Linked DNA regions of Callithrix jacchus. Each later gene encodes a partner of the first gene's protein in a complex. Links are inferred from orthologs where the notes say so. Each region holds a gene or a part of one and is shown in the gene's direction. Other genes may lie near its edges. The genes, in order: TGFB1, ITGB8, ITGB6, ITGAV, NRROS, TGFBR2 and TGFBR1.

Evidence for each region.
Region 2: the proteins of TGFB1 (region 1) and ITGB8 are in contact, whole or in part, in a cryo-EM structure (PDB 7Y1T), measured with the Homo sapiens proteins. The link is inferred for Callithrix jacchus from reciprocal best matches to the Homo sapiens genes TGFB1 and ITGB8. Residues at the interface, in NP_000651.3 of Homo sapiens: His117, Thr241, Arg243, Arg244, Gly245, Asp246, Leu247, Thr249, Ile250, His251, Gly252, Met253; in NP_002205.1 of Homo sapiens: Ser156, Ala157, Ser158, His160, Asn161, Asp213, Tyr214, Asn215, Leu216, Gly248, Asn249, Ile250, Asp251, Thr252, Glu254, Gln286.
Region 3: the proteins of TGFB1 (region 1) and ITGB6 are in contact, whole or in part, in a crystal structure (PDB 5FFO), measured with the Homo sapiens proteins. The link is inferred for Callithrix jacchus from reciprocal best matches to the Homo sapiens genes TGFB1 and ITGB6. Residues at the interface, in NP_000651.3 of Homo sapiens: Pro70, Gly71, Pro72, Glu75, Leu158, Asn237, Gly245, Asp246, Leu247, Thr249, Ile250, His251, Met253, Asn254; in NP_000879.2 of Homo sapiens: Ser142, Ala143, Ser144, Asp146, Asp147, Pro196, Cys197, Ser199, Ile200, Pro201, Tyr202, Lys228, Lys231, Ile232, Ser233, Ala234, Asn235, Ile236, Asp237, Thr238, Glu240.
Region 4: the proteins of TGFB1 (region 1) and ITGAV are in contact, whole or in part, in a crystal structure (PDB 5FFO), measured with the Homo sapiens proteins. The link is inferred for Callithrix jacchus from reciprocal best matches to the Homo sapiens genes TGFB1 and ITGAV. Residues at the interface, in NP_000651.3 of Homo sapiens: Gly242, Arg243, Arg244, Gly245; in NP_002201.2 of Homo sapiens: Asp178, Asp180, Phe207, Tyr208, Gln210, Ala245, Asp248.
Region 5: the proteins of TGFB1 (region 1) and NRROS are in contact, whole or in part, in a cryo-EM structure (PDB 7Y1R), measured with the Homo sapiens proteins. The link is inferred for Callithrix jacchus from reciprocal best matches to the Homo sapiens genes TGFB1 and NRROS. Residues at the interface, in NP_000651.3 of Homo sapiens: Leu30, Ser31, Thr32, Cys33, Thr35; in NP_940967.1 of Homo sapiens: Phe194, Glu195, Ile196, Glu197, Gly198, Gly199, Phe201, Leu210, Leu212, Pro218, Cys219, Ile220, Val221, Asp222, Phe223, Gly224, Leu225.
Region 6: the proteins of TGFB1 (region 1) and TGFBR2 are in contact, whole or in part, in a cryo-EM structure (PDB 9FKP), measured with the Homo sapiens proteins. The link is inferred for Callithrix jacchus from reciprocal best matches to the Homo sapiens genes TGFB1 and TGFBR2. Residues at the interface, in NP_000651.3 of Homo sapiens: Arg303, Lys309, Trp310, His312, Tyr368, Tyr369, Val370, Gly371, Arg372, Lys373; in NP_003233.4 of Homo sapiens: Phe47, Leu50, Phe53, Asp55, Ser72, Ile73, Thr74, Ser75, Ile76, Cys77, Glu78, Val100, Asp141, Glu142.
Region 7: the proteins of TGFB1 (region 1) and TGFBR1 are in contact, whole or in part, in a crystal structure (PDB 3KFD), measured with the Homo sapiens proteins. The link is inferred for Callithrix jacchus from reciprocal best matches to the Homo sapiens genes TGFB1 and TGFBR1. Residues at the interface, in NP_000651.3 of Homo sapiens: Ala279, Leu280, Asp281, Asn283, Tyr284, Tyr328, Ile329, Trp330, Gln335, Lys338; in NP_004603.1 of Homo sapiens: His39, Leu40, Thr42, Lys43, Phe55, Asn68, Met70, Ile78, Phe84, Val85.

Annotation. Positions count from the first base shown.
Region 1 is NC_133523.1:36,630,758-36,634,912, reverse strand, and holds the start of TGFB1 (transforming growth factor beta-1 proprotein), read left to right. Parts: upstream 1-1,355; 5' UTR 1,356-2,212; coding exon 2,213-2,567; intron 2,568-4,155. Other genes in the region: B9D2 (B9 domain-containing protein 2), read left to right, coding at 264-577. UniProt on the Homo sapiens protein: Transforming growth factor beta-1 proprotein: Precursor of the Latency-associated peptide (LAP) and Transforming growth factor beta-1 (TGF-beta-1) chains, which constitute the regulatory and active subunit of TGF-beta-1, respectively.
Region 2 is NC_133512.1:37,927,621-37,931,814, reverse strand, and holds the start of ITGB8 (integrin beta-8), read left to right. Parts: upstream 1-1,394; 5' UTR 1,395-2,145; coding exon 2,146-2,272; intron 2,273-4,194. UniProt on the Homo sapiens protein: Integrin alpha-V:beta-8 (ITGAV:ITGB8) is a receptor for fibronectin. It recognizes the sequence R-G-D in its ligands.
Region 3 is NC_133507.1:69,659,830-69,663,329, forward strand, and holds part of ITGB6 (integrin beta-6), read left to right. Parts: intron 1-155; coding exon 156-360; intron 361-931; coding exon 932-1,178; intron 1,179-3,500. UniProt on the Homo sapiens protein: Integrin alpha-V:beta-6 (ITGAV:ITGB6) is a receptor for fibronectin and cytotactin. It recognizes the sequence R-G-D in its ligands. Internalization of integrin alpha-V/beta-6 via clathrin-mediated endocytosis promotes carcinoma cell invasion.
Region 4 is NC_133507.1:42,317,826-42,321,325, reverse strand, and holds part of ITGAV (integrin alpha-V), read left to right. Parts: intron 1-533; coding exon 534-613; intron 614-982; coding exon 983-1,063; intron 1,064-1,504; coding exon 1,505-1,610; intron 1,611-2,558; coding exon 2,559-2,717; intron 2,718-3,500.
Region 5 is NC_133516.1:25,478,725-25,482,905, reverse strand, and holds the start of NRROS (transforming growth factor beta activator LRRC33), read left to right. Parts: upstream 1-1,381; 5' UTR 1,382-1,482; intron 1,483-1,493; exon of another isoform or gene 1,494-2,065; intron 2,066-2,259; exon of another isoform or gene 2,260-4,181. UniProt on the Homo sapiens protein: Key regulator of transforming growth factor beta-1 (TGFB1) specifically required for microglia function in the nervous system.
Region 6 is NC_133518.1:68,878,746-68,882,245, forward strand, and holds part of TGFBR2 (TGF-beta receptor type-2), read left to right. Parts: intron 1-773; coding exon 774-964; intron 965-3,500. UniProt on the Homo sapiens protein: Transmembrane serine/threonine kinase forming with the TGF-beta type I serine/threonine kinase receptor, TGFBR1, the non-promiscuous receptor for the TGF-beta cytokines TGFB1, TGFB2 and TGFB3.
Region 7 is NC_133502.1:147,268,848-147,271,984, forward strand, and holds part of TGFBR1 (TGF-beta receptor type-1), read left to right. Parts: intron 1-1,298; coding exon 1,299-1,424; 3' UTR 1,425-3,137. UniProt on the Homo sapiens protein: Transmembrane serine/threonine kinase forming with the TGF-beta type II serine/threonine kinase receptor, TGFBR2, the non-promiscuous receptor for the TGF-beta cytokines TGFB1, TGFB2 and TGFB3.

The DNA of each region.
Region 1 (4,155 bases):
GTACCAAGGGCACTGGGGAGCTATGGAAGGATCTTGAGCAGGGTGAGTAACATCGATTTGTAAAGATCTGTTTGGCCTTTGTGTGAGGGTAGATGAGAGGGTGGGAGCCTAAAAAGGAGGCTGGGTTGGAAACCCTAGGACAGAAACCCAGAGAGGAAGGGACTGGCCCTGGGGTGCCCAGTGGGCATTGAGGAGGAGGGAATCAGGGGCAGGAGGCTGGTCCCCACCCATCCCTTCTGTCCCCTCTCCCTCCTTTCCTACAGGCTGGCCCCGGCTCCATTTCCAGGTGTGGTCCCAGGACAGCTTTGGCCGCTGCCAGCTTGCAGGCTATGGATTTTGCCATGTGCCCAGCAGCCCAGGCACCCACCAGCTGGCCTGTCCCACATGGCGGCCCCTTGGCAGTTGGCGGGAACAGCTGGCACGGGCTTTTGTGGGTGGAGGGCCGCAGCTGCTGCATGGGGACACCATCTACAGTGGTGCCGACCGCTATCGCCTGCACACAGCTGCTGGTGGCACCGTGCACCTGGAGATCAGCCTGCTGCTGCGCCACTTCGACCGCTACGGCGTTGAGTGCTGAGGGACCCTGCCTCCAACGCCGCCACCATCACCTGCACTCCTGGATTCCCCGTGAAGGGCAGGATGGCACAGGGGTCAAGAGCATGGACTCTGGAGACCATCAGAGCTGACCCCAGCTAAGATATAGCTCTGCTTCTGTCCTTTCAAGGACCTCTGGCTCACTCTGGACCCAGTTTCTGTATCTGTAAGTTGGGGACAGTAAATGTGTAGGGTCGCAGGATGTTGGGTCAAGAGGCTGCTTGGCACAAGGGAGGTGTTCAGTAAAGGAGAACAATTCTTACAGGTGTCTGCCTCCTGACTCCTCCATTTCTCTGGTGTCCTGTTGTTCCTCCTCCCACTGACACCCTTCCCAGGCCCCCACCGTGACAGACCCTCTTCCCCAGCCTGTGCCTCAGCCTCACACTCTTCCCATTCTGGGTCACCCTCTCCCAGTTGGCTGCCCTGTGTCTCATCCCCCGGATTAAGCCTTCTGCGCCTGGTCCTCTTTCTCTGGTGACCCATACCGCCCGGCAAAACCACAGCGCATCTGGAGCACCCGCTTTGGTGGCGCTTGGCCGCCAGGAGGCAGCACCCTGTTTGTGGGGCGGAGCCGGGGTGCCCGCCCCTTTCCCCCCAGGGCTGAAGGGACCCCCCTCGGAGCCGGCCCACGCGAGATGAAGACGGTGGCCCAGCCCCCCCCATGCCTACCCCCTGGGAGCCGCCCCCGCTCCCGCCCCGTGAGCTTCCTGGGTGGGGCCGGGGCGGCTTCAAACCCCCCCCCCCCCCCCCCCCCCCCCGCCGACCCAGCGGGTCCCCGCCGCCACCGCCCTTCGCGCCCTGGGCCATCTCCCTCCCACCTCCCTCCACGGATCAGCCAGACAGCGAGGGCCCCGGCCGGGGGCAGGGGGGACGCCCCGTCCGGGGCACCCCCCGGCTCAGCCGCCCGCGGGGCCGGCCTCAGCCCGGAGCAGAGGAAAGAGTTGCCGAGGAGCAGCCCGAGGCCCCAGAGTCTGAGACCAGCCGCCGCCGCAGCCGCCCCCGCCACTGCGGGGAGGAGGGGGAGGAGGAGCGGGAGGAGGGACGAGCTGGTCGGGAGAAGAGGAAAAAAACTTTTGAGACTTTTCCGTTGCCGCTGGGAGCCGGAGGCACGGGGACCTCTTGGCGCGACGCTACCCCGTGAGGAGGCAGGACTTGGGGACCCCAGACCGCCTCCCCTCACCGCCGGGGACACTTGCTCCCTCCCTGCCCCCTACACGGCGTCCCTCAGGCGCCCCCATTCCGGACCAGCCCTCGGGAGTCGCCGACCCGGCCTCCAGCAAAGACTTTTCCCCAGACCTCGGGCGCACCCCCTGCACACCGCGTTCATCTCCGGCCTGTCTCCCGAGTCCCCGCGCATCCTAGACCCTTTCTCCTCCGGGAGTCGGATCTCTCCGACCTGCCACAGATCCCCTATTCAAGACCACCCACCTTCTGGTACCAGATCTCGCCCATCTAGCTTATTTACACAGGATACTGCGACACCCCGGTCAAAGCCTCCCCTCCACCACTGCGCTCTGAGGACCTCAACTTTCCCTTGAGACCCCCCAGCCCCTGCGGGGGCCCCACCGCATCAGCCCTGTTCGCGCTCTCGACAGTGCCGGGGGGCGCCGCCTCCCCCATGCCGCCCTCCGGGTTGCGGCTGCTGCCGCTGCTGCTGCCGCTGCTGTGGCTACTGGTGCTGACGCTTGGCCGGCCAGCCGCGGGACTATCCACCTGCAAGACCATCGATATGGAGCTGGTGAAGCGGAAGCGCATCGAGGCCATCCGTGGCCAGATCCTGTCCAAGCTGCGGCTCGCCAGCCCCCCGAATCAGGCAGAGGTGCCGCCGGGCCCGCTGCCCGAGGCCGTGCTCGCCCTGTACAACAGCACCCGCGACCGGGTGGCCGGGGAGAGCGCCGAGCCGGAGCCCGAGCCGGAGGCCGACTACTACGCCAAGGAGGTCACCCGCGTGTTCATGATGGAAACCCGCCACGGTGAGCTCGGAGGGGCAGGGGAGTCGAGAGGGGGGCCCCCAGGGGGCGCCGGAGTGCCGGGGCCACGGGGAGGAAGTGACTGGCAGAGGAAACTGCCTGGAGGAACAGGACCCCCGTGGCACCGGGAACGTGGGATGGTGGGAGGGGCGTGTCGAAAGAGAATGGCACTGAGCCCCCTACCCCCCAGGTACCTGGTCTTGGAGAGGAGGAGATAGTGAAGTGGACCGCTTCTGGAGGGCGACGGGAACATGCGGGGTCACGCGGGGCGGGGGGAGTCCCCTAGAGGGAGAGAACTAATAGGGAGAGGGTGGAAGAAGGCTCCTTCTTCCAGGATGTGTTGAATTAGGGGGTCCGTGGGGTGGGAGTTGCAGAGATGGGGGAGCCTGGTGTGGGAGAAGCGAAAACACCAGTATTTAGGAAAAGAGGCACTGGGGAAAGTTGACCCGGAGCGCGGGGGTCCTGAGGTGGAAAGATTCTAGAAGGACAGAAAAGCTAGATGAAGGCCACCCCAGGAGGTGCCAGGAAAGCCATAGTGGACCCCCTTCCGGAGGCTGCGAAGAACACGTGGGCTGCGGGGCTGCGGTAGAGTCGTAGAAAAAGAAAGAGGTTGGTGTGATAAATGTGGGGAGAAAGGAAGTCGAGGTTATTGGAAGGAAGAGGCTAGCGGGACCCGGGAGGGCGCCGGGGATGCAGAGGTGTCCTCGGTGTTTCCCACTGGGACTTGAGGGACAGAGTGGGAGCCCAGCGGAGGAATCAAGCTCTCAGGAGACCTAGAATTGTGGGTCATGGGAAGGGCTTTACCGAGAGGGGAGACAAGCGTGGGAAAGGTGGCGTGAGCGGAGCAGAGGAGAGAATACCCAGCGCCATCTACACTGCGAATAGCGAGCCCCCAATTCGCCGCAGGATGCGGGGGAATGGGCTGAGTAGAGCCCAGCCGCTGGGGAAGTGCTGGGTTGGGGGTGAGTCTACAATTCCGTGGTGAGAAAATCAAGCTGGGAGGGGTGAGAAAGCCCCACGTGGGAGCCACGCGCGGGGGGAGGAGCCTGCTCTTCCACCAAAGGGCAAGAGGACCCCGCTGTGCTAAACGCTGGCAGTCTGGAGCCCAGAGTCAGTTCCTCTCGGGGCTGGGGAAACCCCAGCGTCCGGCCGCCTCACCCTCTTCCCTTCCCTTTCCTTCCCATGCCCCCGGTGGGGGCGGGGATCGCTCGCCGAGCCCGGGGCGAGACGGGGCAGGTCTGGTCCCGGCTCTCCTGGCTGTGGCGCCTCCTGCTCTCTTCACCCCAGCTATGGGCGGGGCTCCCGCTGAGACGGCCCGTCAGCACCCACGCGAGGACCCAGGCATCCCGTGTGGTTCATAGCCTGGGGGAAGGTCCCTGAGGTTTCACTGACTCTTGGGTGGTGGGGGCTTGCGGGTCACCGGCCCATTCCTGCGCCAGTTTACTGCTCCAGCCCAGTGACGCCCACTCCGCACCCACGTCTTAGTCTCGCCTTCTCTTTGCTTCATCTTCTGTGTAGAGGTTCCTTTAACACTGATCCCTCCAATCCTGTTCTCCCCCACAAATGCCTGTGTGTCTCTTTTCCCCACGTG
Region 2 (4,194 bases), on another chromosome or scaffold:
AGGAGACGGAAACTATTAAACAAATGAGAATGGGGGAAACTCCCGCATATTTCACCTTGACCTGGCTGGACTGGTCTGATGCCTGTAAGAGGCGGGGATTGTATTAAAACATGAGGTCAAACTTCTCGACTGGGAACCACTCCTGCCCCTAGTGGGAAAAGAGAACCATCACCGCGTTTCCTTGTTTCCAAAGCGGGGTACTCAGTTCCCACCCTGGACTTAGAGTAGTAGTGACAGGACCCGAGGAGGCACGCTGCTTCACAGGCAGTTGCCCAGCCTAACACTCGCTCCCCACTTGCACCTAAATTTCTGAGCTGCAAGCAGGCAGAAATGTCTCCCACCTTCTCTCCTTAGCTCCTCTCTCCCCACTTTGCTGCTGTCTCTATTCTGTTCCGTTTAATGGGAAGGTGACACTTAAGATCAAAAGACTCATTGTAACTTGCAAAAGCCCAGAGCCACCACCAGACCCTGGGCAAAAACAGGGCTGTCCAGCCCAGGGTTAAGGCTGTGAGTAGAGAAGGAGCGGCAAGGAATCTTGGCCAGTCGCTCCAGGAACAGCCTCTGCAGACGGGTCCAACTCTCCAAGGGCTAGGAAGACCCAGGAAGCCTCGTGGCGGAGCAGAGGACGAGCTCCTAACTGCAAACAAAGTGCTGAGTAGAGGGCGTTGGGGTCAGGGGAGGCCCCTGGACTCCACTTTGTATGCAGCAGCTGCGGGGCAGTGAGTATCTCTGAACAAAGCAGCGCGCAGGGGTGAGAGATTGGGGTTTGCTCTCAGCTGCCGCTGAGCGAGTGTCCCACCACGCCTCGAGCGAGCGTTAGGGTGGAGGGATTCGGGGGAGGAGGGAGAAGGAAACGAGGCGTGCCATTCCTGTTGCGCCGCTACGCTTTAGGAGTTCTTGTGAACCTTGGGAATGGCCACTATCAGAGCCAAGGGGGAAAAGAAAGAGCTCGAGTGAGAAAAACAAAGAGCAAATGTGGGCCGAGGTGACTTCATGCCTCACCAATGTCCCGCCCACGCTGCTCAGAGCTGTGACTGATGCTGCCGCCAGGGCTGTCGCCGCTCCTGCGGGCAGCAATAACAGCTAGGCGCTCCGGTAGCGTGGGGAGGTTTCCTAGCAACTCTCCGCCCTAAGTGCTCCCTGCTACCGGCAGGTGTGGAGTCCCCCACCCCTGGGGGCAGAGCAGGACCACCCCTCTCCCGTCCCTCGCCAGCCTCTCTCGCATCCTAGCAGTGTGCACCTCCGAGCGCACCAGCAACCTGGGCTCTGGACTGTGGGACGCCCGAGCCGCGCACTGAGGCAAAAACGACCAGGGCACGCAGCCCCCGCTCCGCAAAGCCGGGTTCCCGTACCCCGTGGGAACCTCCCCTTCTGCGCTCTTGGCCACCAGCCTCACTCCCGGCCAGGCAGGGAGAGGCGATGTCTCGCTCTGTGCCTGCCGATGTCAGCGGGTGCTTCTAGGGCGCTCCCACAGCCGCCTCCCCCTGTTGCTGGCATCCCGAGCTTCCTCCCTCGTCAGCCGGGACGCTGCCGACTTGTTGCCCGCTGCTCCGCAGACGAGGCTGCAAGCTGCCACTAGTGGAGGTGGCCTGCCTGCCCACCTGTGGAAGAAACCGCCCAGATTGATGCGCCATCGACTTTTTCCCCTCGACCTCACCAGCGTCCCCTCCCACAGATTCAGCATCACCCAGTGAATGTACATTAGGGTGGTTCCCCCCTCACCACCAGCTTCGGGCTTTGTTTGGGTTTGATTGTGTTTGGCTCTTCGCTAAGCCGATTTATGCAGCAGAAGTCCCACCGGCTAGAGAGAAACAAAAGCTCTTTTCTTTGTCCCAGAGCAGGCTGCGGAGCCCTTGAGGAGACTTCTCTCCAGTAGCCGCCGGGGCCCTTGGCAGTCGAAGGAGGTGCTTCTCGCGGAGACCCTGGGACCCGCTGTACCATGGCAGGAGGGCCGCGAGGGCCCTGAGATGACGAGGAGTGCCCGGGTCCGCTCACCTGCTTCGCTTGCTCCGAGCCGCGGGGTCCGCCTGCTGGGCCTGCGGGAAACGTCCTAGAGACACTCGGCCCCCGAGGTGCGCTCGTGAGGCGCGAGCACGAGACCGGAAAGCAGCCAGGCGGCGGGCGCGAGGCGGGCTGTTTTGCATTATGTGCGGCTCGGCCCTGGCTTTTTTTACTGCTGTTCCTGCCTGCCTGCAAAAGGACCGGCGAGGTCCCGCCTCGTTCTTCTGGGCAGCCTGGGTGTTTTCACTTGTTCTTGGACTGGGCCAAGGTGGTAAGTTGTTTTGTTTTGTTGTTTTGTTTTCTTCTCTTCCCCAATGTCTTGGGCTGGCACGAAGAGCTGCTCGGCCAGAGCATCCCACCCAGGTAAGTTGCAGGCATCAGAGAACTTCAGGAGGGCGGGTGTGTGGCAGGTGCTCCAGCACAGATGGTCTCTAGACCAGGTGTCTTTCTGCCCTGGAGTGAAAGCAAGAACTAATGATCACAGGAGACGCTGTGTGTTATTCGTAAGTGTTGGGGAAGCCATAATAGAAAGGAATTCTGGAAGAGAGGGTGTCCTGTTTACAGAAGTCATTTAGGGGCCCTGGTCCATTCTTAAGAGCATCGTCTGTACAGAATCTTCATCCCATCTTTCTAATATTTGGGTCCACTAACAACTAGCGTGCCTTTAACTCGAGGCTGTAGGTAAGTTGGTTATAATGGGAGTAGTCTTCAGTTTTTGAGTCCAGAAAAGAACATCCAAGTTTCTGTTATCTTTAGTGCTCAGTCTGAATGAATTACACACACTGGAGGGATATTCATGCTTTAAGTCACCATCCTTTCAGCTGTTTTAAAAAACAAATCTATCTAATTGATCCCTCGCTAAGATCAATCTCTGAGACAGAGAAGCAGAAAGAATGCTGGACCAGTATTGACAACTTTCTGTCCAGGCAAGCCATTTATGTCAGTTACCCTGATGTAGAGAGGTTAACGCTTTATAAAATTCATTGTCCTCATCTGTAAAATGAGGATAGGAATACCTGCCTTCTGAGTTCAAATCACAAAGGAAAGTTCAAGTCAAATACCACATGAGAAGGTGTTTTGGGACTTTTGATTTATGAAACAATCAAATTGGATTGTTGGAAAACTATACAACTAAGTAATAGGACTAACATCAGTTTAAGTTCTTAATGGTTTTCAATATAGGCCCAACATTTATTTTTGCTAATGCAGTGACTATTGTCATATTTTTTTTTTAATTTCACTTTTTCTCTGTTTGTTCACCAAGCCCTTAAATTATATTAGAGCCTCTCTCTGACCTCTGGGGATCAAGGAAAGTTTACATAATAGTTGTAATTGTTTTATAGGTTAAAATTTACTCCTATACTTTGATGTGCCAGTTTTTCGCCTGAAGCTAATCAAAGCAGATCATAACCTTATAAATGGCTTATATGTATAAACATATGGAAACATCCAGCTATCTTTAATTAATTGTTGCATATATAGTTTTCTAACATTTGTTTCAGGGAGATTTACTCAGTTATCTGAAATGGAGAAATTAGAGTAAATCTCTGTATCTTGTGGTTATTTTTTTTACTTGTTTGTTGATTTCAAAATAAGTGAAAGGCAAAGGAAAAAGTAACATTTATTATGAGTTATCTCTTAAATAAAAGAAACCTGTATTTGTTGCAGCAAATTTTCCACTGAGCACAATTCCATCCTGTTTCAATAAGTAATAAAGTGTTTTTCTGATTTAGTAAACACACACACACAGGCACACACACACACATACACACTAGTAAAATGACCAAAATTTGTGTTAACTCAGTATATTTTGTTCCCAATGTATAGGCAAAGGAAAAAGTCCTACTTGCCTCTAAAATGTGCCATTTATAGTAAATTTTTTAAAAACATGAACCGTGCTTATAAACATTAGTCAGGCTTTGGTGAAAAACCATTGTATTTCCACCCATTGACTAAAACTGATTTGAAGGAAATATGAATGGGCCTCCCTGCACCTGCAGACCTGAAAAGGAATGCTTATCTGAAATGAGAACAAGGCATCCTTTTCCCAGTCTCTGTCAATATACAAAGGTTTCTGATGTATACTCATTTGCATGGCAGTTAAAAACATGCAAAAAATGTAAATTATAGCCAGTATAACTCAGAAAATTAGAGATCAGCATAAACTGCTGTACTTTTGTGATATAGCTACAA
Region 3 (3,500 bases), on another chromosome or scaffold:
TGTTGATGCTGTTTACTTTTTGGTATATTTTTAGAAAGGTTAATACTGGTTGTTCCTTTCTATGTATAATAAAAAACTTTCAATTGCTGGTATCTTATAAGAAATTCAGATTTGTTTTCTTTTTCTAGTTATTGATTTTCTTTTTTCTTTTTTAGAATTTTACCCACTCATCTGGAGTTGGCGAAAGGTGTGATACCCCAGCAAACCTATTAGCTAAAGGATGTCAATTAAACTTCATCGAAAACCCTGTCTCACAAGTAGAAATACTTAAAAATAAGCCTCTCAGTGTAGGCACACAGAAAAATAGTTCTGACATTGTTCAGATTGCACCTCAAAGCTTGATCCTGAAGTTGAGACCAGGTATGTTAGGATTTGGCTCATGTAAATAGATCTGATGTCATATATGGCAATTCTTCTACTCCACTAATGTGTCTTGTATTGTATTACATTGATTATTATGCCTCGAATTTCCCATTCTTAAGGAAATAGAAAATTGCTAGGCTCACACTTTTCTTTATTCACATTGGTCCCTGGCACTCCAAATGTGTTACTAAAGAAGCCTTCTCTAATAGTAACCATTTAAATTACTCAAATGTTGTTAAGGCTTACCTCACATCTCTTCAAGGGTTGTAATGTAGATTTAAACTCTCTTTTATTAGATGCCTCTTTTCTAAAACGAAGCACAAAAAATTCAGCTTATCTTCTATCTAAATGGATGCTAGTTCTCCCAAGGAGATATAAAATATCCTAACTTATCCTCCAGTAGTTCTAAACTCCCTGCTGAAAAATTTTTATGGGTTGGTTCATTTAGGACCTTGACTTTCAGTAAGTTCTTACTGAGGTGTAATAGCCAGCTGACCCAGCAACTGGCCAGTTGCAAATGAATCTCAGTGTGTTTTTCTGGGTTTGCTTTTCCCATTGGTCTTTGCAGGTGGTGCACAGACTCTGCAAGTGCATGTCCGCCAGACCGAGGACTATCCGGTGGATTTGTATTACCTCATGGACCTCTCCGCCTCCATGGATGATGACCTCCACACAATCAAGGAGCTGGGATCCCGGCTTTCCAAGGAGATGTCTAAATTAACCAGCAACTTTAGACTGGGCTTCGGATCATTTGTTGAAAAACCTGTATCCCCTTTTGTGAAAACAACACCAGAAGAAATTGCCAACCCTTGCAGGTAAGCAAATGATTCCCTTGGCATCTTCGTGCACTGATTTTTTGTGGAGATACCCCGGCTCTGAGCTGCACTTGCCAGGAGCTTGCTAACTCCCTGGCATTTCTGCTTCATCTGGTTGGATCTCAGCAGTTCTCTCCAGTGCCTAGGTTGCTTGGAGTGGAGGTGAGGTCATCTGAACTACATGGTTCTAGCCATGGCTTCTTGCAGCCTCTGCATCTGCCTTCCAGTGTAGGGCAGGTTGTAGCAAACCAGAATGTGTGTTATGCAGACAAGGGGACCAAGGCTTTCACCATAGGCTCCGCTGGATGGCACCTCGCCCAGTCTTTCACACACTTTCTAGTCTCAGTGGCCACCACTTTCTGAGGTTATTGGAGAATAACTTCACTTTCCCAGAATGTTTCTCCACAACAATGACTTCTGGCAAAATAATAATTTTTGCAACTTTCTCTGATGTACTTTGGGAAATATTTGTTTCTCCTATTGCTTGGAGAAGGCCTGGGCAGCCTTCATAGCTATTAAATTCAGTAGTAAATGATTTCATAGGCAATGACTCCATTCTAATATGTTATAATAAGCTATTAAAACCACATATTATTCAGGTGATGGTGGAGGACAAATTGCTTTGTGATGGCTTACCTGTTAAGTGAATGACATGTTCAGAAACAAACTATTTAATATTCTCCTATTGAAAAAGAGCTACTATATGCTCTGTGCCAGACCTTGTGCTGAAGGTTTTACACACATGACCTCATTCAGTCTTCATAACAGCAGGTTAAAGCTTAATAACACCAGCTCTATACTCAGAAGAAATAAGAGGCTCTGAGAGGTTAGCTATTTGCCCAAGGCCACATGACAAACCCATGATCTGTACCCATATTCGATTTGTCCCAAAAGCAAGCCCATTACTACTATACATCTAATATATATGAAATAATTTTCCAAATGTTTATTGACATAATACTTTTATACACCAAAAGCATCAATCTCTATAAAAGATAAATAGCTTTTATTATACCATTTAAAAAAATCTCAATGTAGCCCCCAACTACAATCTAACATAATCAAAAATAATTTAACCATAAAAGGAACTTTTCAATGATTGTAACACTTAAAAATTGTGTTTGGTTTTAAATATCTGTGATGGTGGCTTAAAAAGGGAGGTTTTTTGTTTGTTTGTTTGTTTGTTTGTTTGTTTGTTTGTTTTTGAGATGGAGTTTTACTCTGTCACCCAGGCTGGAGTGCAGTGGCATGATCTCAGCTCACTGCAATTTCTGCCTCCTGGGTTCAAGCAATTTTTCTGCATCAGCCTCCTGAGTAACTGAGATTACAGGCGCCTGCCACCACACCCGGCTAATTTTTTGTAGTCTTAGTAGTGACTGGGTTTCACTATGTTGGCCAGGCTGTTCTCAAACTCCTGACCTCAAGTGATCCACCTGCCTCAGCTTCCCAAAGTGCTGGGATTACAGGCATGAGCCACTATGCCCAGCCAATATTTTCTTCTGTTTTTTTATATAAGGACCAGAGGAAGGCCATTCAGGGATGTATGGCAGATTCAAAAACATGAGGAATCCAGGCCTTTTTCTGCTCTCTGTTTCACCATTATTGACACTTGGATTTTATCTTCATGGTCCAAGAATGGTGCTGGGGTACTAATCATCACTTCTTCATTTCAGTCAGGAGGAAAGGAGGAAAATAGGGGCAATAAGTACACTGTCTGCCTACTCCTCACAATTCCTTGTGACGTATAGTTGACATGCCTAAAATGCACAGATGGAAAATGTTTAGTTTGATGTGTTTTGATGGTTAAATATACCATTGCAATCAGTATCCAAAACATGATGCAGAATATTTTCATCACCTCAGAAATTTCCCATTACAGTCAGTTCTACCACTTCAAAGGCAACCGCTTTCCGAAGTCGATAATTTATATTGGTTTTACCTATTCCTGAATTTTATATAAATATGTAATGTAGTATATGCCCTCTGTGTTTGGCTTCTTTGGTTCAACATAATGTTTTCAAGATTTACCTATGACTTTGTATGTATCAGGAGTTTGCTTCTTTTCGTTTCAGTTAACAATCCATTGTATTTATTTACTATATTTTGTTTACTCATTCTTTCATTGGAGAACATTTGAGTTGTTTCTATTTTAGGGGGCTATTATGAAAAGGCTGCTGTGAGCACTTGCACTGAAGTCTTTGAATGGATGTATGCTTTTACTTCTCTTCACAATAGACACCTAAACTGGAATTGCTGAACTGTATAATTTTTAAAGAAACTACCAAATTGTTTTCCAAAGCGAATGTACATTTTGCATTTCCA
Region 4 (3,500 bases), on another chromosome or scaffold:
TGGTTCATTTGTTTTATTTAAAGTCTACTGATTTTCTGCTTGCAGGAGTTACGATATTTGGTGTTGGGAATATTACGAGAGGTGTGTGGAGAAATTCTGGTTGTGGCCCTACTCATGTCTTCCTTAGACAGGTTCTCTTTCTCTAGTAAACCATCCATTTCTTCTCTCCTCGCCCATGGACACAGCACAGGCTTTGGTTGTTAGCTTCCTGTTATCAAATCATTGTACCCAGTTACTAGACTATCACTGTATCAACAAACATTTACTTCTTCATTTTTTAGAAAAGTGTTTAGTATTATAAGAAGGTATAATTATGATTAATAATTGTTGTTAAATAGGCTCTCTTATGGATTGGCCCAGGTATCTTAAGTAAACAGATTTGATAGAAAATCAGATTTAATTATCTTTGTTCAGTTTTATTGTAAACTCAGAAAAATCCCATGTTAGAGCATTATTTTTTATTTAGACATTGGATTTGAAATATTGCTAATTAGACATTGACTAACATTACTATCTTTTACTGTCTCCTTCAGCTCTTAGCTGGTCTTCGTTTCAGTGTGCACCAGCAGTCAGAGATGGATACTTCTGTGAAATTTGACTTACAAATCCAAAGGTGTGAAACAACTTGTATTCACTTATAACTGTTGAATAAATACTATTTGTTGTAAATATACTATGTAATGTACTTCAAATATAGAATAGTACAGATTAAAATTTATTGCTTCATTAAAGCATTTAAAAATCAGTATTTACATTATTAGAAGAATTTTATTGTCAGGTTTGAGTTTGTAAAACAAAATTTAAAATCCAGAAATAAAACATTCATCTTCTTGGAATTAAATATTAATGAAAATAATTATTTTGAGGTATAAGCTTTACATTTGTTTCTTCTGTTGTGTTAATTTTAGTTTCACTGGGTTTGCCTCTGTATGTTTTTGGTGTTATGTGTAATTCAGTTCTGAATATTTTTTTTCTATTTCAGCTCAAATCTTTTTGACAGAGTAAGCCCAGTTGTATCTCACCAAGTTGACCTTGCTGTTTTAGCTGCAGTTGAGATAAGAGGGTCAGTATGAATACTTAGTCGAGTACCACCTTGTCACGATTGCTTTTTAAAGGGTAACCATCAGGCCTTAGCGTCTTCTGGACAGTAGACACTACACATTTAGTGGTGGTTTTACTAGGGCATTAGCTTCTGTAGAAATAAAATCCTAGGTGTGTTCCAAACCCCCAATACTGAGTGATCCTCAAAATGAACAAGACCTAGCAACAACATGCACAAAATAAGTTTACTGAACTTTTACACAAATTATCAATTCACCTGTTATGTGTATATTTCATAAGAGCAGTTTCTGTCCATGTGTGTGTTCATTAGTTTTCTTTTAAACTATTTTTTAAAATTAGATCCAATTTTATTCATTTGAGTAATAAATACAGGGTACTTTTGAAAGTGAACTGACTATATCATTTTGATATTCATGGTAGGTTTTCTTTGGTCATTGTTTAGAGTCTCGAGTCCTGATCATATCTTTCTTCCAATTCCAAACTGGGAGCACAAAGAGAACCCTGAGACTGAAGAAGACATTGGGCCAGTTGTTCAGCACATCTATGAGGTTTGCAGTGTTGGATTTTACCCAAACCTAGTGAGCGAGACAACAAAGAGAGGAACAACTAAGCTATTTTTACAAAAACAATTCTATGTAATTTTTATTTAAACTCTGCATTGGTTAAGTATGTGTCAGAGATTTCTTTGAGTATTTTCCTTATTGATAAGTTCATTTTTATTTGACTAATAGCTTTGTTTAAAGAAAGCAATTTATATAATTGGTTGTTTAAATCAATTAGTTCTACTTGCATAAAAGAAATAAATCATTGGTACTTTGTCATGGGCATTTTGTAGTTCTGGCTAAAATTTAAAAATACCTATGGCAAATAATCAAAACTGTATTTCTATAGGAAGAAAAATTTTTTGTCGTCTTTCATTAATAACTTTTTAACATTTTCCCCTTTTGTTTATATATTTATATATATTTTTTGAGGTGGAGTCTCGCTCTTTTCGCCCAGGCTGGAGTGCAGTGGCATGATCTCAGCTCACTGCAACCTCCACCTCCCAGGTTCAAGCTATTCTCCTGCCTCAGCTTCCCGAGTAACTGGGATTACAGGAATGCACCACCATGCCTGGCTAATTTTTGTATTTTTAGCTGAGACAGGGTTTCACCGACGGGGTTTCACCATATTGTCCAGGCTGATCACGAACTCCTGACCTCAAGGGATCCACCCACCTCGACCTCCCAAAGTGCTGGGATTACAGGCATGAGCCACTTCCCCCAGCCTTGTTTATATTTTTATCATGATGCATTACTCTATGTTAGAGACAAATGTTGAGTTTGAACATTTTTGCATAAAAATGGTCATATTGTAATTAAATTATAGGTTAAGTGTGGAAACTGTGCTATTATTTAAAACCTGTTGTTAATATGATTTCTAAAGTTGATGTAGGGGAATGATTATAGTATAGATTTTTGCCCAAGGTGTGGATACATTTTCTTTTATCTCCTTAGCTGAGAAACAATGGTCCAAGTTCATTCAGCAAAGCAATGCTCCATCTCCAGTGGCCTTACAAATATAACAATAACACTCTGTTGTATATCCTTCATTATGATATTGATGGGCCAATGAACTGCACTTCAGATATGGAAATCAACCCTTTGAGAATTAAGGTAATGTTCTTAGTAGCAGCTCTTCATTATAATGATATTTTATTGCCTTCTTTCTAAACCTATAAAAGAAATTCATAAAACCAACTCTGCAAAAAATGGTTTAGTTCATAAGCAGTACACTCAGGATAAGATCATTTATGTAATGGGTAAGAATTAATTATTGACATCCTAGTGAACCATATCTTCATGGAGTGCTTAGTGAGCTTCATGAGATGTCCTTCAGTGACTCAGTTTGACCTTGGCTCCATCACAGTGTGGTTTGTTCAGGGTACAATATCACATCAAAGGTGTTTCGTTGTTAAAATTTCTACCTTCAGGATAAGAGATCTCATTTTACTCATGATTCTTTTGACTTACATGACCTAATGTCATTTTGTAGAATTATATATGCTTTTGGATATTGTCATCACCATCATAGATTTGCACAACAAACTATTATACAATATCCTCCAAGGAAAGGTAAAAAAATAATAATAAACAAAGTTAAAAATATACCATGATTGACATCACAGATGTACTGTGGAATTTCAGGCTGTTTGTTTATGTTTCGTCAGTTTCCACTCTAGCTAAGCAAGGGCTGAAAACAATGGCTAGGGAGAGCTATTTTTTTGGTACATGTTAAAGACTCTAATCTTTATTTTTTTGTTCTTACAATTCACCATATATTGAGTGGTAAATACTCGGTCATACTAAATTTTCATTCACTATTTTTTAATTATATGTAAGAGTTTATATCAAAATGCTGATGTAAAATGTTTTTCATTATAATTTATCACCATTTTA
Region 5 (4,181 bases), on another chromosome or scaffold:
GTCCACCTTGGCCTCCCAAAGTGCTAGGATTATAAGCATGAGCCCCTGTGTCCTGCCAGGAGTGAATATTGTAGAGAGCAGAGACAATCTGCTGGATTTTTGGAGTAGAAAGGACCTGTTCCTCTTCTCTTAGAATGGACAAAAGTACCCAAAATCAGAAATCACAGGCTACAAGAGAGGTGACCCAAATTCTGCAGGACACTTCAACGTTCAAGATTTTTTTTTTTTTTTTTTTTGAGATAGTCTCACTCTCTTGCCCAGGCAGGAGTGCAGTGGCACAATCTCAGCTCACTGCAACCTCTGCCTCCCCAGTTCAAGTGATTCTCCTGCCTCAGCCTCCTGAGTAGCAGGGACTGCAGGCACCCACCACCATGTCCAGCTACTTTTTGTACTTTTAGTAGAGATGGGGTTTCACCATATTGGCTAAGCTGGTCTCAAACTCCTGATCTCAGGTGAGCCTCCTACCTCAGCCTCCCAAAGTGCTGAGATTACAGGCGTGAGCCACTGCACCAAGCCCAGCGTTCCAGATTTGAAGGGGAATGAGAGATCAGAACTGGAGACCCCTCGTCTGAGCCTACTAGTATAATGGTCCACGTCACTCACTGGGCATGCAGCAGACCCTGTAAATATTTCACCTTCTCTGGACAACAGTAGTTCCTCAAGAACAGGAGATCTGGGAGAATGCACAGCGCCTGGCACTCCTTCGATGATGGCGATATTATCAATGCTTCTTATTCCTTTGAATCCTTGGCAAGAGCTGGCAGGGAACTTTGTACACATCAGGTACAAAAAACCTCATCCATGCAGTCTGTGATCCAGAAGCTCATGGCACTCCCTGACAATTCACGACAAAGCAGTTCCACTGCTTTTTAACACAGTGTGGGTCCATGAAAGGAGATTATCCATAAGGACTAGCTGAGTGGATAAAAAGACAGACTAGCTGAGTGGCTGACTCTTCCAGACGGCAGGTTGTCCCTCTTGACAAGTGGAAACCATGTGCTGCCATTCCCAAAGTCAGCCTCAGCTTGGTCCTTGGCTGGAACCTTGTAGAAAAGTTTCTGGGTCAGCAGACCTCACAGACAAGGATCCGTAGCTGGCCACCCCCAGCCCTGTAAAGGCTCTAAGGCAAGAAAGCAGGGGAGCCTAGTTCACATTGCTGGAAAATCATTAAAATATCCCCGATGCTTGGCGACTAAGCCCGGAGGGTATTAGGTGCTCGCTTTCCCTCAGCCCGCCCCATCCCCCGCGCCCCGCGCTGCAGTTCCCTCTAAGAAGCGCGATCTAAGTGAGGCTGAGTGCTGAGTCGCTGAGCAGCCCGCTCTCCATGTGACTTCAGTTTCCGTCTGTTCCTTCCGCTAATGCTAAAATAATCTGATGCCCCAGAGAAAGGAGGCAGCCCAGCCTGGCGTTCGACTGCTTTCGAGGAGGCTGGAGCCCCTAGAGAGGATGCGCCCCGCGGAGCCGCCTGGGCCTGCGGGAGCCGTGAGTATTTCCTGCGTGGGGGTGTCCCCTGGGGACAGCCAGGGCCCTTCTCCAGGTGGGCGAGCTCGGGCGAGGATGGGTGGTAGGAAGTCAGCGTCCGTGGCCCGAGGCTGAGGGCTGCCCAGGAAGCTGTGGCTTGCTGCATCCAAGCACGGGGATTCTGTGCTGGGTGTGGGGGCTGCAGCTCTGGATGGAGGTGGAAATAGCTCCCTCCAGGAGCACTTACGGTGAAAAAGGTGGTGCGGTGTAGTAGAAACCACGAGGGCTTCAGACTCAGACCTGGATTTGACTCCTGGCTCAGCAGGGAGCATAAGAGCAGGCCGTTAAGGTTTCCTAGCCTCAGTTTTCTCATCTGCAAAATGGGAACAGTCATGCTCCCTTCCTGGGCTGGGCGACTGGATATGATGACACCACTCTGTGCACACTCAGCATGCTGAGCGCTGGGATCTCCTTTCCTCCTTTCTCAACGTGGGTTGAGAACCACTATTTCATAGATGAAGACACTAAGACTGGTGAACAGCAACACATGTTCACAGATGTCTTCCATGTGCCAGGCCTGTACAAGGCCTTGGGGACACTACGTGCAAAGCTTGGAGATTCGCTGTGGCTCTGTGACTTGTATCCACGGCTAGCCTAGGTTTTTTTTGTTTTGTTTTGTTTTTGAGACACATCTCAGTCTGTCTCCCAGGCTGTAGCGTAGTGGCACGATCTTGGGTCACTGCAACTTCTGCCTCCTCCTGGGTTGGAGCAATTCTGTTGCCTTACCCTCCTGAATAGCTGGAATTACAGGTGTGTGCCACCACACCTGCCTAATTTATGTATTTTTAGTAAAGACAGGATTTCGCCATGTTGTCCAGGCTGGTCTTGAACTCCTGACCTTAGGTCATCCACCCACCTCAGCCTCTCAAAGTGCTGGGATTACAGATGTAATCCCAGCAGCCCAGCCAGCTAGCCTAGTCTTAGATCCGTGGTTTATCAGAGGGAGACTAAGACTCGGATGCCCTTCTGTAGCCCTTGTGGCCTCTCCATGTGGGCCAGCTTCTGAAGGGGTCAGTGTACATCTCTATGTACCCAGGAGCTAGATGGAAAGAAGAAGCCACTAATGTGGCTTTGTGCTGCCTCTGAGAAGGTAAACTGTGCCAGTTGGTGGCTGGGACTGGAGGAGACTGGGTCAGGGTCCTAAGGATGGAGCCTCTAGACCCGGCTGGTTGGGGCTGGTGTGCTTCCGGAGGGGCTGAGGGAACCCCACTGGAGGCTTCCTCATGATGGATACAGCCTGTTAGGAGTCTGGATACTAGAAACATTCAGAGTCTACAGAGCTGGCTCTCCATGCTTTCCTGTGTGCCTTTTACTCGCTGGCTGTGACACACAGACTGTTCCTGTGAGTGCTGGGGCTTTGCTGGGCTTTACGTCCCTGAGTCATATTTATTCTCCTCACACACCCCTTAGGTTTCTATGTGTATGCCTGAGAGTTCCTAAAGCAGATTGTAAAATCATGGGCCCAGGGGAAAAAAAAAAAAAACCTTCACTCATGCCTTTAAGTTAAAAAAAAAAAAAAAAAAAAACCCCAAAACTCAGCTTCACAAAGAAGGCACTACTTTTTTAAAATTTTATTTATTTATTTATTTATTTTTAGCAACACGCTCTTGCTCTGTTGCCCAGACTGAAGTATGGTGGCATGATCACAGATCACTGCATCCTCAAACCCTTGGGCTCAAATGATCCTCCTGCTTCAGCCATCTGAGCAGCTAGGACCACAGGGGCATACCACCATGCCGGCTAATTAAAATTTTTTTTTTTTGTAGAGACAGGGTTTTGCTGTGTTACCCAAGCTGATCTCAAACTCCTGGGCTCAAGCAATCCTCCTGCCTCAGCCTCCCAAAGTGCCGGGAGTATGGACATGAGCCACCACACCCCGCATTCATCTAATGGATACCCTCATGGGAACTTCATGAAAACCCATATAAATATAATCTCTCATAGTTTTTAAATCCATCATCCAAGAGTTCCTGCTCTTTGGTGATGACACATGCACGGTAAACTCCAAAAGAGACACGGACTCCCAATATCTCTGTTCTGGGATCTGCACTGAGAATACACTGACCAGCCGGGCATGGTGGCTCACACCTGTAATCCCAGCACTTTGGGAGGCCGAGGCGAGCAGATCACCTGAGGTTGGCAGTTTGAGACCAGCCTGACCAACATGGAGAAACACTGAACTCTACTAAAAATACAAAATTAGTTGGGCATGGTGGCACATGCCTGTAATCCCAGCTACTCAGGAGGCTGAAGCAGGAGAATTGCCTGAACCCTGGAGGCAGAGGTTGCAGTGAGCTGAGATCGTGCCATTGCACTCCAGCCTAGGCAACAAGAGTGAAACTCCATCTCAAAAAAAAAAAAAGAATACATTGACTTGTCTGTCTCTGGTCTTGACTCTTTTGGAAGAGAGATGCTAGTACTGATCACTACCTGCATTCTCTATGTATCCACATTGCAAAGCACAAACCAGATGCTCCTATGGGCAATGACTGTGCATCACATCATGCATAGATCCATTGTATAGTCTCATAAGTTAGGAGAGGGTGGACTTACAACCATGACTGAAAAACACTACCTTTCTTAGGACATGCTGTCTGTTACATACTTACAGATGTCTGTGTTTACTGATGCTTGTTAATGTGTCATTGCACATCAGCGAC
Region 6 (3,500 bases), on another chromosome or scaffold:
GAGCCCTGGGCTGAATTAGTCTTCAAATATATGCTAGGAAGGGATACTAAATGTAAAAGTAGTTAATGACAGCATAAAATATTTCATTGAGCTGTGAGTGAAGAACACCCTGAAATCCTTTCCCTTTTTTTTTTTCCTGATTGCGCCTTTCTGTAATTTGGGAAAGACTGCAGTTCTTTATCTGGGATGGTTCTTCCCATTTTTCTCAGCAGAACCAGCTGTTGACAAGGAGTATGCCCTTCATACACAATGCTCTGAGGCCCAGCAAACAAAAAAAGAGGAACTGTGACTATCTCCCCAGGCACGCTCTTTGAACACAGTTTAGCTAGACAGGACAGAGTTTGCCAGTTCAACTGAGGGTGTGATGTGAGCTTTGCATAACATTCAGGATGGAAGATTTAAAACGATCCTGAGTACCTAGGAATGTTCTTTTTTCCCATGCCTTCTCCTTTAATGATTTAATTCAGACTTAAATATGTAAAATTCTCCAGCAGGACTGCCCCCATGGAACACTGTCTGCTCCATGTGATGTTTATAACCACAAATGGGTTCCGAGAATAAACAAAGGAAAAACAGAAAAAAGTAGAAAAGCACAGGAGACCAGAGGACAGCCTGCGAATGCTGGAGAACAGGAATCAGGGGCCTTTGTTAGGGAACAACTTTGTGAAGGAAAAGTAGTCCAGATTGCCTTCCTGTATGGAGGCCATAGTATTCATTTATTCTCCTCCTCTCTCTCCCTCTTCCCTCACCCTCAATGAATCTCTGCACTCTAGGAGAAAGAATGACGAGAACATAACACTAGAGACTGTTTGCCATGACCCCAGGCTCCCCTACCATGACTTTATTCTGGAAGATGCTGCTTCTCCAAAGTGCATTATGAAGGAAAAAAAAAAGCCTGGCGAGACTTTCTTCATGTGTTCCTGTAGCTCTGAAGAGTGCAATGACAACATCATCTTCTCAGAAGGTGAGTTTTCTCCTCAGAAGGGACTGGGCCTGACATCTGTGCCAGTTTTTTGCACTGTTGATCTGAAGTGTCACGGACCAAGTTCCTCCTGTGGTGGATTCTGTACAGTGGATTACGAGCCCGTTCCGCTGGTGGGAAGAGGGGCTTAGGGAGGAGCAAGGTTTGTACTGGATCCGATCAAATCTAGTTGACTGGGGCAAACATTATTATTTGTCTTTGACAAATAGTTTCTTTCACCTAGAGCAGTGGTTCTCAAAGTGCAGCCCCTTGAGCAGCCAGCATGAGAATCACCTGGGGACCTGTTATAAATGCAGATTCTCAGGCCCCACTAAATCAGCAACACAGCGGGTGAATCCCAGCTATCTGTATTTTAACAAGCCCTCCTAGTAGTTCTGTGCAGCTAAAATTTGATGACCATTATTCTAGAGATTTGGATGGGGTTGTTTAATCCTGGAGGAGGACTTGCTTTATAACTGAAGCTGTTTCTTGTACATCGTCCCAGGTAGGGTACTGGTCATTGATCCCATTTGAGAGAAACATTGAAATACAGAGAGGAAATAATAAGTCAAAGTTTACCCTTGGAGCCAGGAAAAGAGTAGATTAGATACTAGCCTTCATCTTTGAAGTTCAGGGTTCACTCAGCTTGAAAGGAAGGCACACACTCTTCCCTCAATTTTTAATAAGAGAAGTGACGTTCAGTGGTTGGTTTTTAATTACAAATTAGTATATGTTCTTTATCAGAAATTCCAAACAATCCAACAGTGTGTGAAAATTAAAAATGAAAGTACATTTCCCTCATCCCCTCACTCCCAGTGCAACAGATTATCTGTATTGACAATGGACTGGACGCACACACTGAATGACAGTATCTCTGTCATTCATTCATATCTCCCACTCCCAAACACTCCCTGTCTTCCTTTCTCCTTCCCTCCTTTCATCCTTCTGTCCATCTTTTATCTGTCCCATCCACTCATCCATCTTTCACTCCAACTGTTTTATCATATTGTAAATGTTATATTGCAACACTTTTTACACCCAACCACTTTTACAGTTCTTTCTAAACAAGATGGAACACATAGTTATACTGTACATCTTTCAATTTCAGTCTAGAATTTCATATTATCTTCCGTGATGGATCTAATCATGACCCTGTGCATGGATTATTTTTGTATCGTCAGTTTTTCCACTTCGTGCTACATTAAATATCTTTATCTCATGTATTTGTGCTAATATTTCTGCAAAACAGATTGCTAGAAGTGAAATCTCTGGTTTAGAAATATGTGCATTTTAAATTTGAATAAACACTACTAAACTATTCTCCTCCCAAAAAATATGTAAACACATGGATTTTCATGTGCCTTCTCCAACACTGGGGATGGATACATCTTTTAATTTTACCATCGTGGTAGTGTAAATAAATATTAATAGTACTCTTTTGGCTCTAGGAATGTAAATTCAGGGAAGCGAAAGGTTAGTTTAGTCAACAATGGGTCTGATTTAATTAAAAAATCTTTTTGGAACACAAGTGCTGGCTCTACACCCTATCTCTGCTGCCACGTGTGTTCCACCTCCGAGAAGGGATGTGTCCTCGTGTTTCGTGTTTGGTGCTCAGCAGCACTGCACATCCAGCTTGTTCTCTTCCTGTGTCCTTCACCTACTGCCATTCTCCCTCTTCCTGTCCAGCTCCCCCTAGGCCAACTTCTCAGTGAACTGAAGGCAGGCACACCTTGTCAGGGCAACACTTTCCAGATCACTCTTCCTTCCTATGTTCCCTTCCTACAAATGGTCCATTTCTCTCATTTTCTTTCTTTCTTTCTCTCTTTCTTTCTTTCTCTCTCTCTCTCTCTCTTTCTTTCTTTCTTTCTTTTTCCTTTCTCTCTCTCTCTCTCTCTCTCTCTTTCTTTCTTTCTTTCTTTCTTTTTTAGATGGTGTCTCGCTCTTTCACCAGGCTGGAGTGCCATGGTGCAATCTTGACTCACTGCAACCTCTGCCTCCCAGGTTTAAGCAATTCTCCTGCATCAGCCTCCTGAGTAGCTGGGATTACAGGCATGTGCCACCACGCCCAGCTAATTTTTGTATTTTTAGAAGAGAGGTGGTTTTACCATGTTGGTCAGGCTGGTCTCAAACTCCTGACCTCAGGTGATCCACCCACCTTGGTCTCCCAAAGTGCTGGGATTAGAGGCGTAAGCCACTGTGCCCGGCCTCATTTTCTTTATGTGATTTGAATTAGGAGGGAGATCCAAATGATTAAATCATACTAAACATAGTAATACCCGATATTCTGACTTAACCACATCAGCTTTCTTCAAGTAGTTCACCTTTTAAAAGAAGGCCTAGGCTAAGCCAAAGGAATTAATCTGTAACACTAGAATACCCAGGCACATTTACTAGCACTGAAGAAACTTTTCCCTCCTTATGTATAGTGGCTTGTCTACAGTAGACACGTTTATTTTATTCAAAAGGACAAAAATTGATAAATGGCCTGCAAGTTGGATCTATATTTTAGTATTGAATTTCTTTGTAAAAACATCTCATA
Region 7 (3,137 bases), on another chromosome or scaffold:
CCTGGGTTCAAGCAATTCTCCTGCCTCAGCCTCCCGAGTAGCTGGGATTACAGGCACGCGCCACCATGCCCAGCTAATTTTTTGTATTTTTAGTAGAGACGGGGTTTCACCATGTTGACCAGGATGGTCTCGATCTCTTGACCTCGTGATTCACCCGCCTCGGCCTCCCAGAGTGCTGGGATTACAGGCGTGAGCCACCGCGCCTGGCCTACCTTCAGCCAGGACAACCCAGAATAGTGGACAGTTCCTGGACAGGAATAAGGAGACATGTATTCTAGACCAGCCTGGCTACCATTTTAAGGATCTAACTTTGAACAAATCACTTCAGTTCTCTGGACCTTAATATCCCTTTGTAAGGTGAGGAACTCAGATAAGGTGATTACAAAGGTGTTTCAAATGATTTTCCATTTCATTCATCTGATTGCCTAGATGACCATTAACCAGGAATTTGGGGAAAATGCTTTTTTCCAGGAGTGTCTGAGCTTCTCATCAGCTCTAACAAAAGTTTTAGAAATGTTTTTGTAATTGCAAATTTAAGGATTCGTAAGACAAATTTTCTTTAACCTCTCTCTCCTTAATTGCTAGCTGTTACTATTATAAAATTAGTAAAGCGGGGACTATTCCTCCAGGTTTGAAGTTGTATAGCTTAAAAGGCTATAAAAAGCTGTTCAGTTCAGTAGTTGGTTTTACATCTTAAAATATTGTAGGACTCAGCAGAACCTCTAATAACCAACAGAGCTTGCTACCTCCAACAAAATCATCTCCAGGCCCAGATAAAATGTATTTCAGCATGCTCAAAGGATTTGCATGTGACATAAGAGTGCTGCTAGATTTTGTCTTTTAGAAATTTTATCTAGTTGGGAGGCCGAGGTGGGAGGATTGCTTGAGCCTGGGAGGTCAAGGCTACAGTGAGCTGAGAGCGTGCCATTACATTCCACTCTGGGCGACAGAGTGAGAGACCCTGTCTCAAAAAGAAAAATTTGATCTGGATGCTTCAAAGTACAAACTTAAAAGTTTAGTGAGGTCAGGTTTCTTCTTTGCTTTGCCCAGCTCTGGTTTAGGATTTGGCTTTTTCAGGTTTGCTAAGTCTTTGTCCACCTGCTTTCCAGCACTGACACCAATACTCTGTTGATGGAAATTTATGTAATTTCTACTCATTTGCTGTTACAAATAATGCTTCCACAACAACAACGAATGTTTATCTGTCATTTAAAAAGAAAGTTTACAGGTAAAGATTCTTATCCAGACCAGTGGAAAATGGTACATGCATTAATTATTTTTCTTGTATTTTCTTGTAGGCCCTGAGAGTAATGGCTAAAATTATGAGAGAATGTTGGTATGCCAATGGAGCAGCTAGGCTTACCGCATTGCGGATTAAGAAAACATTATCACAACTCAGTCAGCAGGAAGGCATCAAAATGTAATTCTGCAGCTTTGCTTGAACTCGACTTTTTTCTTCAGATCTGCTCCTGGGTTTTAATTTGGGAGGTCAATTGTTCTACCTCACTGAGAGGGAACAGAAGGATGTTGCTTCCTTTTGCAGCAGTGTAATAAAGGCAATTAAAACTTCCCAGGATTTCTTTGGACCCAGTAAACAGCCATGTGGGTCCTTTCTGTGCACTATGAACGCTTCTTTGCCAGGACAGTTACAAAATGTTGTGTAGTCTACCTTTATTTTTTATTAACAAAACTTGTTTTTTAAAAAGATGATTGCTGGTCTTAACTGTAGGTAACTCTGCTGTGCTGAAGATCATCTTTAAGGGCAAAGGAGTTGGATTACTGAGTTATAATAAAACATTTCTTATTATTAAAGAAAGTGATTTACTCCTGGTTAGTACATTCTCAGAGGATTCTGAACCACTAGAGTTTCCTTGATTCAGACTTTGAATGTACTCTCCTATAGTTTTTCAGGATCTTAAAACTAACACTTATAAAACTCTTATCTTGAGTCTAAAAATGACCTCATATAGTAGTGAGGAACATAATTTATGCAATTGTATTTTGTATACTATTATTGTTCTTTCACTTATTCAGAACATTACATGCCTTCAAAATGGGATTGTACTATACCAGTAAGTGCCACTTCTGTGTCTTTTTAATGGAAATGAGTAGAATTGCTGAAAGTCTCTATGTTAAAACCTATAGTGTTTGAATTCAAAAAGCTTATTTATGTGGGTATCCCAAACTTTTTCTGTTTTGTTTTTTGGAAAGGTTTTTGTGGTATGTCATTTGGTATTCTATTTTGAAAATGCCTTTCTTCTACCAAAATGTGCTTAAGCCACTAAAGAAATGAAGTGGCATTAATTAGTACATTGTTAGCATGGTCATGTTTGAATATTCTCACATCAAGCTTTTGCATTTTAATTGTGTTGTCTAAGTATACTTTTAAAATAGCAAGTGGCACTCTACATGCTTATAGTACTTTAATATTTGTATCATACAGACTAATTTTTCTAAAAGGGAAAGTTTGTCTAGCTGTTTGTGAAAAGTTATGTGGTATTCTGTAAGCCATTTTTTTCTTTATCTGTTCAAAGACAGTGTTATTTTTTTAAGAAAGGAATTACATTTAAAATTAGAATATGGTTAATGTTAAATAATAGGCCTTTTTCCAGGAAGGCAAAGGTAGTTAGTAATTTGAATAGATAACAGATGTGCAAGAGTCACATTGGTTATGTAGGAATGTTTGGTGGATCCTCTGTCTTTGTAACTGAGGTTAGAGCTAGTATGATTTTGAGGTCTCACTACACTTTGAGGAAGGCAGCTTTTAATTCAGTGTTTCCTTATGTGTGCGTACACTGCAACTGCTTACTTTACATGTAATTTATGTAATGCATTCATTGCACCCTTGATATTTGGAAGAGGTGGTAGCTAAAGAACATTCTGAGTATAGGTTCTTCTCCATTTTTACAGATGTTTTTGTCAAGTTAAATATTGAAAGCAAACTTGTCATGGTCTTCTCACATTAAGTTGAAACTAGCTTGTAATAACTGGTTTTTACTTCCAATGCTATAAAGTCTCTGCAGGGCTTTTGCAGTTTTCAAAGTCCTTTTATCACTGTGATCTTATTCCAAGGGGAGGAAAAACTATCCTAGCTGTGAGCCACAACTTTGACTTTATAGTGCTATCAGTTCCCCAAT